Linked DNA regions of Drosophila melanogaster. Each later gene encodes a partner of the first gene's protein in a complex. Each region holds a gene or a part of one and is shown on either strand. Other genes may lie near its edges. The genes, in order: MED21, MED31, MED4 and MED8.

Region 1 (3,686 bases):
GTTCGAGAAAAGGCTAAGCATAAGTACCATTATGCTAAAGCCAATACAGAAGATTCCTTTAATGAAGATCGGAGCGATGAACCTACAGCACTTACAAATCATCATCACAATAAATTAATTTCTAAAATGCAAGGAATTTCCCGCGAAGCTCGCTCAAACCAGAGAAGACTTTTAACAGCCTTTGGTTCTATGGGTGAGTCTGAGCTTTTAAAATTTAATCAGCTAAAGTTTCGGAAGAAACAGCTTAAGTTTGCAAAATCTGCGATACATGATTGGGGATTATTTGCAATGGAGCCCATAGCTGCAGACGAAATGGTTATTGAATATGTTGGTCAGATGATTCGACCTGTAGTTGCTGATCTAAGAGAAACAAAGTATGAAGCAATTGGGATTGGGAGTTCCTATTTGTTTCGAATTGACATGGAAACTATAATTGACGCAACTAAATGTGGAAACTTAGCTCGGTTTATAAATCACAGTTGCAATGTAAGTAAGCTGGATGTTCTGACATTATGTTACCAACATAAAATTTTGTTTTTCAGCCGAATTGCTACGCTAAGGTTATAACTATTGAATCTGAAAAGAAGATAGTAATATATTCAAAGCAACCCATTGGTATCAACGAGGAAATAACTTACGACTATAAATTTCCACTAGAAGACGAAAAAATACCTTGTCTATGCGGCGCCCAAGGATGTCGGGGTACACTTAACTAATACTTATTTACAACAATGAATTAAATATTTTAGAGCACATAAATTTAATTTGTTCATAAAATCCAAAGTGGGGTACGTGTAAGTATATATAGTTTTTTTTATAACTTAAAACTATAATTAATTATTATAAAAATTATATCAACGAGGTCAGAGGTGCTGTTCAAAATGGTTTAGGTCTAAATTAAGCTAAAATACTTTACTTATAAAAACAATATGTATATACTAAAACCCATTTGATCTGTAAACACGAACGAAAATGCAATAAATACATTATCTTAAATTTAAAAATAATTTGCCTTTATACAAAAATGTGTTAAGCAGCTATTGTAAATCATGTTTGAGTGTTATTTGCATATCTAATTGAGCCTGAGCAATGCATTCCAAAGAATACTGCATTTTTTCTAGCAAAAGTTCGCCTTTTTGCACTACTTCCTCTAGGTCTCTTGCAGTTCCCTGGTTTTCGATCTCGAGCCTCTTAAGGCTAGAATTTTGGAGTTCAATGGAGCTGTCTTCATTTGGAAGAGACTCGATTAAGGTGTCGATGTCTTTAGCACATCGTGCAATTAACTGTGCAAATAATTGGGCATAGTCTTCTTGCGGCGGACATGGGATTGGCGTTTGGGGTCCAATGCGTTCAAAATTAACAAATTTACTTGGAAGGGACGTTTGTTGAATTACACCAATAGCATTGCAGAAGTGCTCCGCTTGCTGCAATGATTATTTTACATAAAAAACTGGTTATTTCTTAATACGAAGTCACTTACCTGATTAACGGTGTCTTGCAATTGTGTAAGCCGATCCGCCATTTTACTACAGAGTTAATAATTCTGAAAAACAAAAAATTATATGGAATTAAGTTTGATTAGCCAGTTCAAATTTTGATTAACATTTTTAATATCAACATAACATAATCAACATAATATCAACATACAATGACCGTTGGTGATTTTTATAATATATAAGCATTTATTTATCGATTGATTTTATGTCTTATTTACAGATACCTCACAGCAGCGACTATTCTCTTAAAAAAAGAAATGCTATTAATATGAGTTCCACACTAAAACGTGATTTCTTTCAATGAGACGAATTATTCTTGTTCACACTGTGCCATAATAATGTCTTCATTCCAACGATATAAACTACCATAAGATTGTCGGAAACAGTGGAATCTCCATAATATATGACCACACGTTGCACATCGATCCCTCTTGTCTTGTTCAAAATCATCACAATTTCGGTTATAACAAGGAAGCAGTTGGTCTCCAAGTAGTCTGCAACCTCTCTCACACAATCTTGGTATATCCTTGAGGAGGGTATATCGATTTCAGTTATAAGCTTGCAACGAAGTGAAAAAAGCATTTCAGTCCAATTAAGTGGGTATAAATATCAGTAAGAACAGCCGTACCCTTTTTCACGATAATTATTCTTTTAATTTTTAACATATCTAAATCGGTTCACCATATCTTAAAGATGTCATATGAAAAATTTTAAAGCTACCTCTCTTGTTTTTTAAAGGTTTTTAAAAGCAACAAAGATTTTATGATACGAACACTTTGTGCCTCCGATTAGTTTTCTTGTGAGGGGATTTGAATGGGTGGTCAGTTTTACTAGGTATTTTAATTTTCTTCTCAGTTATTATTTCGATAAATAATTTGATTTTTTTCTCTCTGTGTATGTCTTCGTTCCGAAGGTATCACGCTCTAGTCAGAATTCTCAGAATTGTTGGCTGTTCTCGCTGAATGGATGCCCCACAGGTCGGAGCCATAAGTCCAGATTGGTTTTAAGACGGAGTTGTATAGGAGAGCTTTGAACTCCACGCTAAGTGGAGAGCGAGCATGAGCCAGTGAAGGTTCCTTGCATCTTATTGCGACTTCAGTAGCTTATGTATGTTTTGGAACAATAGCTTGGCTAGTTTAAGCAAAAGTCCATCCAGAAACACTGTCAAATGCCTGCGCGACGTCTAGTAAAATGGCTGTGTAATATTCTCGATGCTCAAAAGCAGTACGAATTTCTGACGTGATTCGATTGGCCTGTTCGATGGTTCCATGTTTTTTCCATGACGAGGGCTTATTCCCAGGAGTAGCATTTTTTCAAATAAATTTTAGAGATAAGTTAGTTACTGTATCGGTCTATATGATGATGGCTGCGTTTTATCTTTTCCTGGCATTGGAATCATTACTATGGTAGATTTTTTCCATTTTTGAGGGAAGTATCCATGCTTGGCGATTGCGTTGAACAACAAGCACATGTGCAGAACATCACACTGGGAGTTCAATAAGGATTTTTTGAGTTATTAGGTCGAAGCCAAAATCGCTTCAGTTGCTTTTTGATAACCTTTGCTAATTCACATAATCTAAGTTTGCTTCTGCTAAAGGAGGGAGAATAATGACTTTATAGCAGGATTTGGTAGAAATAAAATTTGTAAGTGGTCAGCAACTGCTCTGGCTCTTTTCTCATCACTGTCTTTTCTCTACAAAAGGTTCTTAGTGCTGGTGGGCATACGTCACTTTGCACCCGAAACTAGAATATTTTCAACAGTGTCCGTTGACTTGTCTATATTTTCCTTAGCAGATAATGCCGGCGTTAGTTCTATGTGTGATCTGGGTCTGGGATTTTTCTTGGGTCTGCTGGTCAGTATGTATTGGATAGCGTGGTGGGCAGTAGACTGCGGCTAGAGTCATTGAACCATTGTTGAGTAGTTAGACTATGGACGTAGATTGAGGTGGTTTTTATGCGATTTCTGATTAGTATGCCAGTGCCTCCAAGAGCTTTACCATCTGAATGATTTGTGAGGTGCGTTTCTGATAGTAGCATTACTCCAGTGTTTTTTTCGGTAATGAACTGTGTGAGTTCTTGTGTATGAAGTGAATAGATATCCGTAGGGAAGCCAGCATGGGGATTTTGAAGATACAAGAAGTTGTATCAGGAAATTTTGCACGTTTTGATCGTTATGAAATATTTCATGCT
Region 2 (3,966 bases), on another chromosome or scaffold:
GTAATTGGCCAGGCACACCATATGGCATGTCAGCCGACACATTTGATTTGTGCATCCCAGGCGGGATTTCTCCGGTTGCTCCATTTCCTGCATACAAAGGTGGCACTCGGAAGCCCACGCCACAGGTGGAGGAGGTACTGCATCATCAGGTCTCCTACGTTGTGAGGCACTAATGGAAACCTTGCCACTCACAATTTCCATGTGTTTAGGCAGTGCCTTGCTGAATGGCCTCTCGTAATCCGTTTCTAGCCAGCGAACGGTGAGCGGTAATCTATTCCAAGGGCCAACCCCCAGCATATTACTAAGGATCCTAAAGTTGTAGTCAAAGAACGTCTCCCTGGGCAGTTTTCGTTTTAATTCAGGGTACATTTTAAGCCTAGTTGAAAGCGACGGCTGTTGCCAAGCCCATTCAAACTGGAGTGCCACTGTATTATTCGGGAATCCGTGCACGATCATTACCATCAGCCACGGCCCTTTGCGACTGGTTTTCCTCGCGCCACCGAAATCACAACCAAGATTGTGTTGGCGTATCCGCCGTTTGGGGTTCACGGTGAAGCCCACGTAGCATTTTCCCCGGTAGCGAGGATCCAAGCTCTGACTGCATAGCAAATAGACGCCGTAGAAGTGGCCCTTCAGCGCGACGGATTCCTCCTGTTGAGAAGCTGTGTCCTGTGGGTCTGTGAATTCACCAACAGATAGATTAATGAAACTTGCTTTGTGTCTGCAACCAAAAACCAACGACAAAGGAGGCGACACCCTAACTAAAGCAATGAGATGAGGTTTTCAAGATTTTCTAAAATAAAAAAAGAAATAAAATTATTTTAGAATTTTAGTTTGGCTAAAATAGCTAAGAAAATAAGGTGTGTTAAGTGGTAGCTGTTTCTCAGCCAAAAAGGAAGATAATAAATGGAATGCAAAATAACTTGTTCCAGGTTCTTATACTATTTTATTGGTAAACTTTTAGTTGCCAGCGCTAGTTTAACTCTAGTTTTATGTTGGCCCCCGATGCCACGCCATTGATTTGCTGCTGCTGCTGGGGATTTCCAGGCTGTGCTTGGACAGGCTGTAGGGCAGAAGACGTCTGTTGACTATCCGCCGTGGAAGCTGACCCGTTCACGTTGGGGGTAGGTGCTGCTGATTCGCCTCCCGTTGCTGCCTCCATGCCGTTCGCCTGCTGTTGTTGCTGCTGAAGCTGCTGTTGTTGCTGCTGGGCGGCCGTAACGTTTTCGATCAGTTTGATGCGCTTGCGAGTGTAGTGCTGCCACTGCAGAATGGCCTGGTCGTCTATGAACTTGCAGCACTGCGAGTTGACGATCTCCCGGCGGAAGTGTTCGTACTGCAGCAGATCGAGGAAGTAGAGGCACATTGGGTACATGAGGTATTTCGCATAGTCCGGCTCCTTCCAGTACTGCAGATACTTCAGGTAGTTGATGAACGACTGGTCCTTGAAAAATCCACGCTGTGCAAGGACTGGCACAAGGCGTTGTAATTGTTTATTTAGATATACGCGCAAGATGGTGAATAAGTGAATATTAGGTAGGTCGAGGTAATATTATTCTTACAGTTTAGATAGTTGGGGTTCGACAGGCACTGCACGAACTCCAGCTCGATCTGCCAGCGTCGCTTCTGCAGCTCCTCCGACTCGATAGCAGCTACGGAAGAAATTGGAGAGCATTAGTCCCTGAGAAATTAGCACCACTTTTGGTAGATCTCTGAGGATTCGGCATGCCAAGCGGTGTCAGTAGGTGTTAGATTACAATGCGAAAATGGGTGTGGATTGGCGTGTACTTACTCTTACCCTTTCCGTACATTTTGGCCATTTTGGACTGGTCTTTGGCTTTGGAAAGGGTCTCGTTGGGTCGGTACTTGCGTCTATTCAGTTTCGGTGTCGGGTTGGGTTCTTGGTTTCTTTCAGTGTGCTATGTGGATGTTCTGAGCTGTGTGTTTTGGTGCACCATCGAATTGAAAACGAAACGTCGCGGCAAACAAAACACACAAGTAAAATTATAAATATATATGGGCTTCGCTAATGAAATAAAATGTATGGCGCGGCAGTGACTGCACAGAGCAAACGCAGGTTGTGGGCCAAAAGAAAACTCGGGAAAACAGTCGACCAGGTTTCTGGGCGCAGGCGGTGGGTTGTCGCTCCCTTTGTGTTGGTGATTTCTTGTGGGAAGGCAGTTAAATTCAGTTTTTAATATTGTCTACAAACCGTAGGAGTTCATTTGGATTGTTGATGGCCGGCGACAACCCTACTTCTGTCCCCGCCAGGGCTGCAAGCTCATCCGAATACGATTTTTTTTTCGTAAAATACTGCTTTTCCGTATATTTTACTTGGTGTGTGCTAACGGTATTCTTGAAAATGTTTCTGTGTTAAAAATTAGAATTAGGGTTGTTTTAACCAACAAAAATCTTTAATACCAGAGTAAGTTTAAACAAATCTGAGCGTATGTATCAAGAAGTACAGCGATCAATGGTATCTACAAATAATCATAATAAAACAATTAAAATTTATATTAAAATATAAAATTCCGACCAGAACATTGACAATTTTTAATTATAATATGTAATTAACAATTGTGTGTAGCCTTCAGTATTTATTTCACTACCCCTAATGTGATGCGCATTTAATTCGGTATTTTCACAAGCCTACGACGAACGCTGTGGAGAACAATGCCTGATTTTTTTGTCAGCCTGAAAAGCAGCGAGGAAAAACTTGAATTTCGTCTGTAAAACATATCTAATCGGAACCAAGCCACTGAAAAAGTCGTAGTTTAGGCTAAATAAACGAGAAATCAACGAGTGAAACTAATTTCTATCTGTGGACAGAACGCCCCCGCACCTATTTTTGTGCTGAGGAACAAGCGAAGCAGCGACGCACAATTCAGAAATGTAAGTATTAACAAAATTATGTAATTTAAGTGCATATGAAACATTATATATGTATATCCAACTATTTCCCCGATTTCGACGGGTTAATCATCATCCACAAAAAATTCATGTTGGCGAAGAATCTATTATTAGATTACAGTGTGCTCTGCTTGAATACAACTCCGAAATGTATATACATATACAGATGCATACAGATGTACACATATGTACATATGTGCATATGTATCTATACAGCACAGCACAGCTGCCGTCCAAATAGAACCAAAGATTGTTTCTTGATAGGCTTCTGAATCATTTCAATGTAATTACGAATGTAAGTCTCTTTTGTGTCCGCTTAGGCAAGCCACAGTCGCAATTTTAATTGATCGATTGGTTTGCCACACTAATTCGTACATCTAAATTCGAGATAAATAGACCATTACCTAAAACAGTATTATAGAGTGAAAAGTGTACAGTGTGTAACTGGTATAAAAAGTGATTCCGACCCTATAATGTAAATGTTTCTTCGATCCGGACCAATGGCCTGGTCGATCTGACCACGATCTACAACGCCCAAATTGGCATATAACACTGTAGTTCCATACAATTGTCATAATAGTTAAAATAGGATTATTAGAAACGTATCAAATAAATGTCTTCGCTGAGTGCTGGGTATCTCATAGTCGCGACTCTTGACTAAAGTGATCTTTACTCCTAAACATCTTCCTATATACATGTGAAATGAATCAATGTTCTTAAGTGGGAAAATTCATAGGTAATATTAAAATGTTTAGTGTTGTAACTATGACCACGGCTTTATTTACGGGGGTGCATAAGGGGTAAAGCCAACGGTTGGCTTTTCCACATAGGAACAGCTGCAGATTTATTGGTATATTTTAAAGAACTGTCTGAGCTTAGCGTTTATGGGTGTCAGCTGGCACTACCTGTCCGGGGGTCGTCCTGGCGTACCTGACTGCCTACAAAACTCATTACATTTTTGCTTTCCATTACAGTTGCAAACCGGTTTTCGGCGCAGAAACACCCACTCGATCGTCCAAGAGTCAAGCGGAGAACAGTGAAAACATACATTATAAG
Region 3 (3,472 bases), about 18 Mb from region 1:
TACAGATACAGGCGGAGCAAAAGATACAGGATGCACGAGAGACAAGTGAAGAAGTGAGTAGCGCGGATGGGCCACTTAACGGCTAATACAGCGGCGATAACATTTGCGATCCAATTACAGGTTGAAGGGCAGCCATTATGTGGCCACGCACGGTCGCCTCACTCCGGATCCGCCCTACGTCCACTCGAACCGCGGCTATTCCACCGACGGCGATGAGACCCACTCCCACCGGGCGCCCTCGGAGCGCACCTATTCGGAGTACACGTTGACCCACGAGCGCATCTCGCCGCAGTACAATGGTTCGCGCAAGAAGCGCTCCTCATCCTCGAATGGAAACCATCAGCATCAGCACCTGCAGAGCAGCTACAGCCACAGTCAGATGGGCCTCTCCAGTTCGCCGGACAACGGAGGACCTCGCTCCCTCAGCGGACCGCCGCCCACGCGCCAGCCACCGCGTGCTCCGTCCGCCCTGAGCTATGACCAGGCTGGTGACGCCGGCAGCGACATCTATGTGACCAGTGCCGCCTACAAGGCGCCCTCCGAGATCAGGTGCGTTGTTACAACTATATAGCATATAACCCATATCTAAACTATCTATCATCCATTACAGTCGCTACAGTCAGCGTCCAGTGTCGCGAGGAGCTCCACGGAGTGTTTACTCCGTGGCCAGTACGGCCAAAACCGGACGCAGTGCGCGCTCGACGACTCGGCGAGGCGCCAAAGTGGAAACCATGTCCGCGCCGAATCCATTTTGCCCCAATGTCAAGGGCGTGTGCTGTCTGATGCTGTTGCTCAACTTGGGCCTGATCCTGGTGACGCTAGGATTCGTCATTGTGGTGCAGTTCTATGAGCCACTGTACGTGTGGATACTGGGAATTGTGTTCCTGGTCTTCGGCTTCCTCACGCTAATCGGCTGCATGATCTACTGTGTGTACGTGTTCCGGGATGCGAAGACGCCATCGCAGGTGCGCAACGAGGATCTCTACTGGACGCGGCACTGGCAGAAGAATATCGGATACACGCCGCAGGAGATCAACTACAAGGCGGACAAGTACGATGCCTACTCGGATCGCTATTCGGTTAGCAAGCTGAGTGGCAAATACTCGGATCGCGAGAGCCAGCGATACTGATTGTTATGCATATGTACATATGTATGTATGTACATACATATGCGGTTTGATGAAAGGGGATCCTTTGGGCGGAGAAGAAATATGAATAGCCACATATAAACCACTTATATCTTAACTAATTGTAAGACTATCTACTAGTTCTAAACGGTTATTAACAAGGCCCCTCCAACGTACCTGCTGCAAGTTGCTTGCTGGTTTGTATGTTTTAAGAGTGAAACTGACGGGAGACGCGAACGCGAGGATGCAACAGAGTATTGTAATCTGCCATATTTGAGAAGGTTTGTTAGGTTTGATTTGGCTAATCAACAGAAGAGTTTTATGCTAAAATTGTAACTGCAATTGTAACACACGAGAAATAAACAAGCAAATAATACCTACTAGAGATAACGCTGCGAATTTGTTTTATTTTTGAACAGTCTCTTCTACTCTTTGCTTTTGAGTACTTGATTCCCTTTTTTTTGAGTGTATGAAATAACCCATGTGGCAACTCCTATTAGTCTGGCAACCTCTCTGTTACGGTATTTTTACAACGTGGTATTAACAGCGCTCCGGAATACTATACGGTATATTTCAGCAATCGAAGAACGGCCACATTGCGGTGTGGAAAATAAACAAATTGCAATTATTGCTTAGCACAAACGATTTGCCGTGATAATGTCGTTTCATTTGAGCACAAAAGAGCGCCTTCTGCTCCTGATCGACGACATTGAGATGATTGCCAAGGAGTTGATCGAGCAGGCGCACCAGAAGATCTCCAGCACCGAATTGGTGGACCTGTTGGATTTGCTGGTGGCCAAAGATGAGGAATTTCGCAAAATGCTGGAACTGGCGGAGGAGCAGGCGAAAGTGGAGGAGGCGATGGACCAACTGCGCGCTAAGGTCGAGGTGCACGTAAGTAGAAGTTTTGCATTCCCCAAAAATAAGGTATAATCTGGATTTTCCCGCTTAGGACCGTGAGATCCAGAAGCTGCAAAAGTCGCTAAAGGATGCGGAGCTCATACTGTCCACGGCCATCTTCCAAGCGCGACAGAAACTGGCCAGCATCAATCAGGCCAACAAACGACCGGTTTCATCCGAGGAGCTCATCAAATACGCACATCGGATTAGCTCCGCCAATGCGGTCAGTGCTCCGCTCACCTGGTGCATAGGTGACCTGCGGCGTCCCTATCCCACGGACATTGAGATGCGCAACGGGCTGCTGGGTAAATCCGAGCAGAACATCAACGGCGGAACAGTGACCCACCAGAACAGCGGCATGCCCTCGGAGCAGCAGCGAACGCTGTCCGGTAGCGCAGGAAGTGGGAGTGGCAGTGGCGCCGGCGGCGAGGTGCCCAATGCCTTCCAGAACCAGTTTAACTGGAATCTCGGAGAGCTGCACATGACCATGGGCGCCTCTGGGAACACAGTGGCCCTGGAGACGCGCGCCCAGGACGATGTGGAGGTCATGTCCACGGATAGCTCAAGCTCCAGTTCCAGCGATTCGCAGTAGAATTGGATAAAAAACTATAACTAAATCTCGTTTAAGCTAGTAGTATTAGGTATTTAATAAAAGCGCGCTGTAAGGAAGTCTAGTTATGTATATATTTGAGTAGCTGGGATACATATCTAATTTTATGACCTTCTTTAATGATATTAATTTACAATTTAAATTGGCATTTAAAAAAATGCAAAGTTATGTATCAGTGGAAACAGCTTATAATAGCTTCGTGTCAAGAGCTTGGTACTTTTGCGCTAGTGCGATACGGTCCTCCTCAACCATATAAACAATCGATTGGCAGGGTCGCGTGCAATCGATACTTTGACAGCTCGCAATTATTTTAGCTTTGGTTTTTCAAATAAAATGGAATGCAACGCGTATGCAGCGTGTTTCAAGTAGCTAAAATGTGGCCAAGGTGTAGTCCAGTGTCGCCGCCAATCGCAGATCAGCCCCGTGTGCGTCTTTAACGAGAGATAAGCCCCGAAAACGATAGTAGAAAACCGACCCCCCGTTCGCAGTGTGTGTGTACAGAGGGCGAAGCGAAGCGAAGGCTCGACTCAAACCAATTGCAATATCAAATATAAAGAAAAAGTGGAAGTGGAAGGTGGAGTGGAGTGGAGGCCAGGGAGCGAGAGACACCGCCATCGCCACTTGCATCGCCGCATCCGCAATCGGGTTACATACGACACTCACATACCACACAGCCAGCCAGCACACAGGCCAAACTTTTACTTTTTCCCATTCGATATTGTTGGAAAAAATTTGGCCAAAAGAAAACAATTCGAATACAAATACAAACAGAAGAGTGTACGAGTGGGGGGCGACATGATAGTTTGTTTGAGTTCTACACACTGCATGTTTGAAT
Region 4 (3,649 bases), on another chromosome or scaffold:
AAGGCGTATATCATCGGTAAGAACTTATTCAGGTCTTGCAATAAAAACGCAGACTAAATCTGTTAATCTTGCAGCGTAAGTATTCACAAGATTTACGATGAGATTATACACGTGCGTTTCGTCGACGTGGGCGACGATGGAGTAATTGCCTGTGATCAACTGAAAACTCTAAATCCGGAGTTAAGAAAGCTGCCCAAGATGGCATTGCCAGCACAACTTTATGGCAAGTTCAAGAGAACTTCAGCAGTTTGGCGTTAGAACTAAAAACGATCTTCTTTCAGGCATACAACTGACTGATGTAGTATGGAGCAAGGAGAACTGCGTCCGATTCCGGGAACTGTCGCTGGGTCAGAAGTTTATTGGCATTGTGCGGCGAATGACTAAACAAAAGGATGGCGGACGAGCGCTGTGCCTGGAGCTGGTGGACACCTCCACGCCGAAAGATATTAAGCTGCACGAGATTCTCATCAATGAGAAGCACGCACAGCCAGCAACATAAGAAGTCTGAGTCGGAGGAGACGATCCATTTAAATTTGTTCATGTTTATGTTTGCGTAATCCTAGTTTTAGAATTAGGAATATACATATAACTTATTACGACGAAACATTCCGCCAGATGGAACCGATAATAGCTAATAAACTGATGTTTTTTATCGAGAGAACGGATGCACTTGATTTGCGGACTTGATGTTTGTTTTCACAGCCGATGGCGCCTTTCCCAGCTGCTGCTGCACGTTGCCGGGACTCATAGCGGGTCCACCCATTGGCGAGGGTGCTCGAATTGAAGGCGGTACCATCATGCCAGGTCCGGGTCCATAGTTGGTCAGCTTGAGTCCTTTTCCCATACCCACGGCGGCCACCAGGAGCTGTGTGTCGGCCATGCTACTCGTCTGCTGGATGCCGGTGCGCGAAGAGCTCTCGATTTCCCACTCCTCGCGCGCTTTGCTGACCATATCCAGGACGTGGGAGACGACCTTGTTGTATTGAGTGACCTGTTTCATGGCAGCGTCGTTGGTGAGGTTCGCCGCCTTCTGTTCGTTCTGCAGCATTTTCTGTTCCGTAATCGGATCCGGCCGAGTTCTCAAATAGTCTGGAACAATGTCGTGTGAAAAGACTGGCACCCGACCCTCTGTGATGTTGATGAGGGTGTCATCCCGGTCCATGGAGACCAGAAGGGGCAGGACCGTTCGATTTCTTAGCGGCGGACACTGCTCCTTTGCCAAGATTTTCGTCAATCCCGTCAAGTGACTTGAGATAATGGCAAAGTTGTCCAGGAAAGTCGGCCAGTTGATGGTCTCGTACTCTAGCTCAAGTTTTTGGATCATCGAGAGAACCGCCAGCTTCAGGTCGTTCAGACGCTGAAGGACCGTATCCAGCGTCAGCTCAAAAAGCTTTTCGTCGCGCTGCATTTTGGAAACTCCCAATTAAACTATTATTTTTAACTTCAGTCGGATGGACACAAAGTGGAAAGTGTGACCGTGGATCTGCTTATTATCATTTGTTAGTCGGGTGTAATAAAATACTGCAACACCGTACTATCGATAACGTTTGCGATAGCAGCAAACTGGCGTCCACACTACATTCAGATCCTAAAATTAAAATCATATGGTCAATTAAGGAAACTGAACAATAAAAAATGAATTAATGCTCACCAATAACTAATAATTGATCGTTATTATTTGTTTCTGTTTTAATTTAAATAGAACTAATAACTTTTATTTTTGCAATAATTAGCAGAATCGTTAATGCATACTTAAAATAATGTCAAAACAATATGATATGATTTAAATAGTCTAATATATAAAACATTCCCAAAACGAATAGTGTTTTCAACTACGAGCGCCTCTTGAAATAACACAATATTTATTATTAAAATATATAAACTGACTCGAGTTCATCAGACTCTGAACAGTCCTTAGACTATTGAAGCCAAGCCATCGATTGTGCCCCGGCATATCGATACTACCAACATGGCCGTCGAGAAAAATTGAAGTGAACGCAACGCCGTGTTTTTCATTTGCCAATAAAACGTTAACAGCTCACGAAATATCGTAAAGCGTGCCCGCAAACGTCGCCAAATGTAAGCAAATTATTTTAGTGCCTGTTTTACATCGTTTACATAATTGCCAGAGCTGAAATTCGAAATTTAGTTGCTGCCGTCGGGAGTATCGCCAACTTTTGCCTCACACTCTCTCTCTGTCTCGCTCTGCATTCCTCTCGTGCTGACAAGGCAAATATATTGGTGCTGGTGTGAGTGTATGTGTGAAAAATGGAAGAAATTCAAAATGCATATGTGAAAAGATATACGCGCAAGCCGATTAAAAATCGGCTCTCTCGCACGATTTTGATTGGGACCACAGGTCCCCGACCCCCGCGGCGTGATATGGGTTAAATGACAGCCGGAGCGCGTCCGCGATTCTCTCTGCGTTTTCAGGTCTCTCCGCTCTATTCCCATTCTGTATAACTCCGCTCCTGATATTGTTGTTGCTTTGTGTTAGCCATTTCTAATGCTCTCTTTACATGTTTCTATATTCAATTGTAATATATTTGCAGCTTGTTGTGTATGTTTTTGAAATGGTAAAGTGTGTTGTCGCGTTCGCCAAACCGAATCCGAAACAGTAAACCAAACCCTAACCGATTGGGGGTAATAAACATTGAAACCCGAGTACATACATACATATATCTGTCGCGCGATATATATACATATACATAGTTGCCAAAGCGATAGAAATCCGAAATCTCGCGATGGCGTCGCGCAGGCGCGCCGAACTGAATCCAAAACTGCACATGGACAGGCAGCCGACAGCTGCCCGCATAACAGGTACCTGAACTGAAACTTCTACCAACTACCAGCAAGCAACTGCATAGAAGTGGGAAAACCCAATTACCTCGCCGGGATTAGCGATGTCTAAGGGCCCATAAACCCATCAGCCCGTCTTAGGGGCTTCCCGGAACAAAGCACCGCCCACCACCCTGCCAATCGAAGCTTACCTTTTACCTCTCAACCTTGCAGATCCCTCATTACCCGCTGGAAAGCGACGCGAGATCGACAACGTGATGAAGAAGGCGCGCGCCAACACCACCAACGATTATTGGGACAAGAAGCTGATCGAGGCAGAGGAGAAGGATCCAAACCGATGGCGCCACACGGGCTACAAGAAGATGTACATCCAGGGGGAGAGCAGCTCTGGAGAGAGCGAACGCGACGGTCGCGAAGGTCGTGAGGGTGGAGCACCGCCCTACGGTCGTTATCCGCCCACAGGTGGACCGCCGCCAGGTCCACCGCCTCCGTCGCAGCGTTACGGACGCTCTCGTTCGCCGCACTCACGCAGTCGGTCGCGTTTGCGCAAATCGCCACCGCTTTCACCACCTCCGCGTCGTCGTTCACCGCCCATGGCTATGCACAGTGGCATGGATCGCCGTGGTGGACCTCGCTCGCCGCCAATGCCACGATCGCCCAACAATAGCCACGATGCCCTCATGCGTCGACCCGGAAACGGCCACGGCGGAAGGCCCCGATCACCGCCGGAACCCAGTGGTGGCTCGTCGTCCTCGTCGTTGCGACGCAAGCCAAACGCGTCGCGTTCTCCGCTCGGACGTCGCCGGTCTCCACCGCTTCCTCCGCCCTCGTCGTCGGCAATGGAGAAGCG

The links.
Region 2: MED21 (region 1) and MED31 share a complex: the UniProt entries of both Drosophila melanogaster proteins name them as parts of the mediator complex.
Region 3: MED21 (region 1) and MED4 share a complex: the UniProt entries of both Drosophila melanogaster proteins name them as parts of the mediator complex.
Region 4: MED21 (region 1) and MED8 share a complex: the UniProt entries of both Drosophila melanogaster proteins name them as parts of the mediator complex.

Annotation. Positions count from the first base shown.
Region 1 is NT_037436.4:25,114,182-25,117,867, forward strand, and holds MED21 (mediator complex subunit 21), read right to left. Parts: upstream 1,766-3,686; 5' UTR 1,648-1,765; exon of another isoform or gene 1,544-1,647; 5' UTR 1,523-1,543; coding exon 1,481-1,522; intron 1,425-1,480; coding exon 1,038-1,424; 3' UTR 743-1,037; downstream 1-742. Other genes in the region: Set1 (SET domain containing 1), read left to right, coding at 1-486, 543-716. UniProt on the Drosophila melanogaster protein: Component of the Mediator complex, a coactivator involved in the regulated transcription of nearly all RNA polymerase II-dependent genes.
Region 2 is NT_033777.3:4,640,255-4,644,220, reverse strand, and holds MED31 (mediator complex subunit 31), read right to left. Parts: upstream 2,259-3,966; 5' UTR 2,226-2,258; coding exon of another isoform or gene 2,213-2,225; exon of another isoform or gene 1,938-2,212; 5' UTR 1,821-1,937; coding exon 1,793-1,820; intron 1,653-1,792; coding exon 1,563-1,652; intron 1,471-1,562; coding exon 974-1,470; 3' UTR 929-973; downstream 1-928. Other genes in the region: nuclease slx1, read right to left, coding at 1-677, 2,213-2,225. UniProt on the Drosophila melanogaster protein: Component of the Mediator complex, a coactivator involved in the regulated transcription of nearly all RNA polymerase II-dependent genes.
Region 3 is NT_037436.4:7,248,757-7,252,228, reverse strand, and holds MED4 (mediator complex subunit 4), read left to right. Parts: upstream 1-1,701; 5' UTR 1,702-1,784; coding exon 1,785-2,021; intron 2,022-2,079; coding exon 2,080-2,619; 3' UTR 2,620-2,700; downstream 2,701-3,472. Other genes in the region: CG14830 (uncharacterized protein), read left to right, coding at 31-53, 121-549, 611-1,130. UniProt on the Drosophila melanogaster protein: Component of the Mediator complex, a coactivator involved in the regulated transcription of nearly all RNA polymerase II-dependent genes.
Region 4 is NT_033778.4:20,325,315-20,328,963, forward strand, and holds MED8 (mediator complex subunit 8), read right to left. Parts: upstream 1,493-3,649; 5' UTR 1,409-1,492; coding exon 650-1,408; 3' UTR 530-649; downstream 1-529. Other genes in the region: tapas, read left to right, coding at 1-16, 75-223, 282-499; CG8929 (uncharacterized protein), read left to right, coding at 2,745-2,820, 3,013-3,649. UniProt on the Drosophila melanogaster protein: Component of the Mediator complex, a coactivator involved in the regulated transcription of nearly all RNA polymerase II-dependent genes.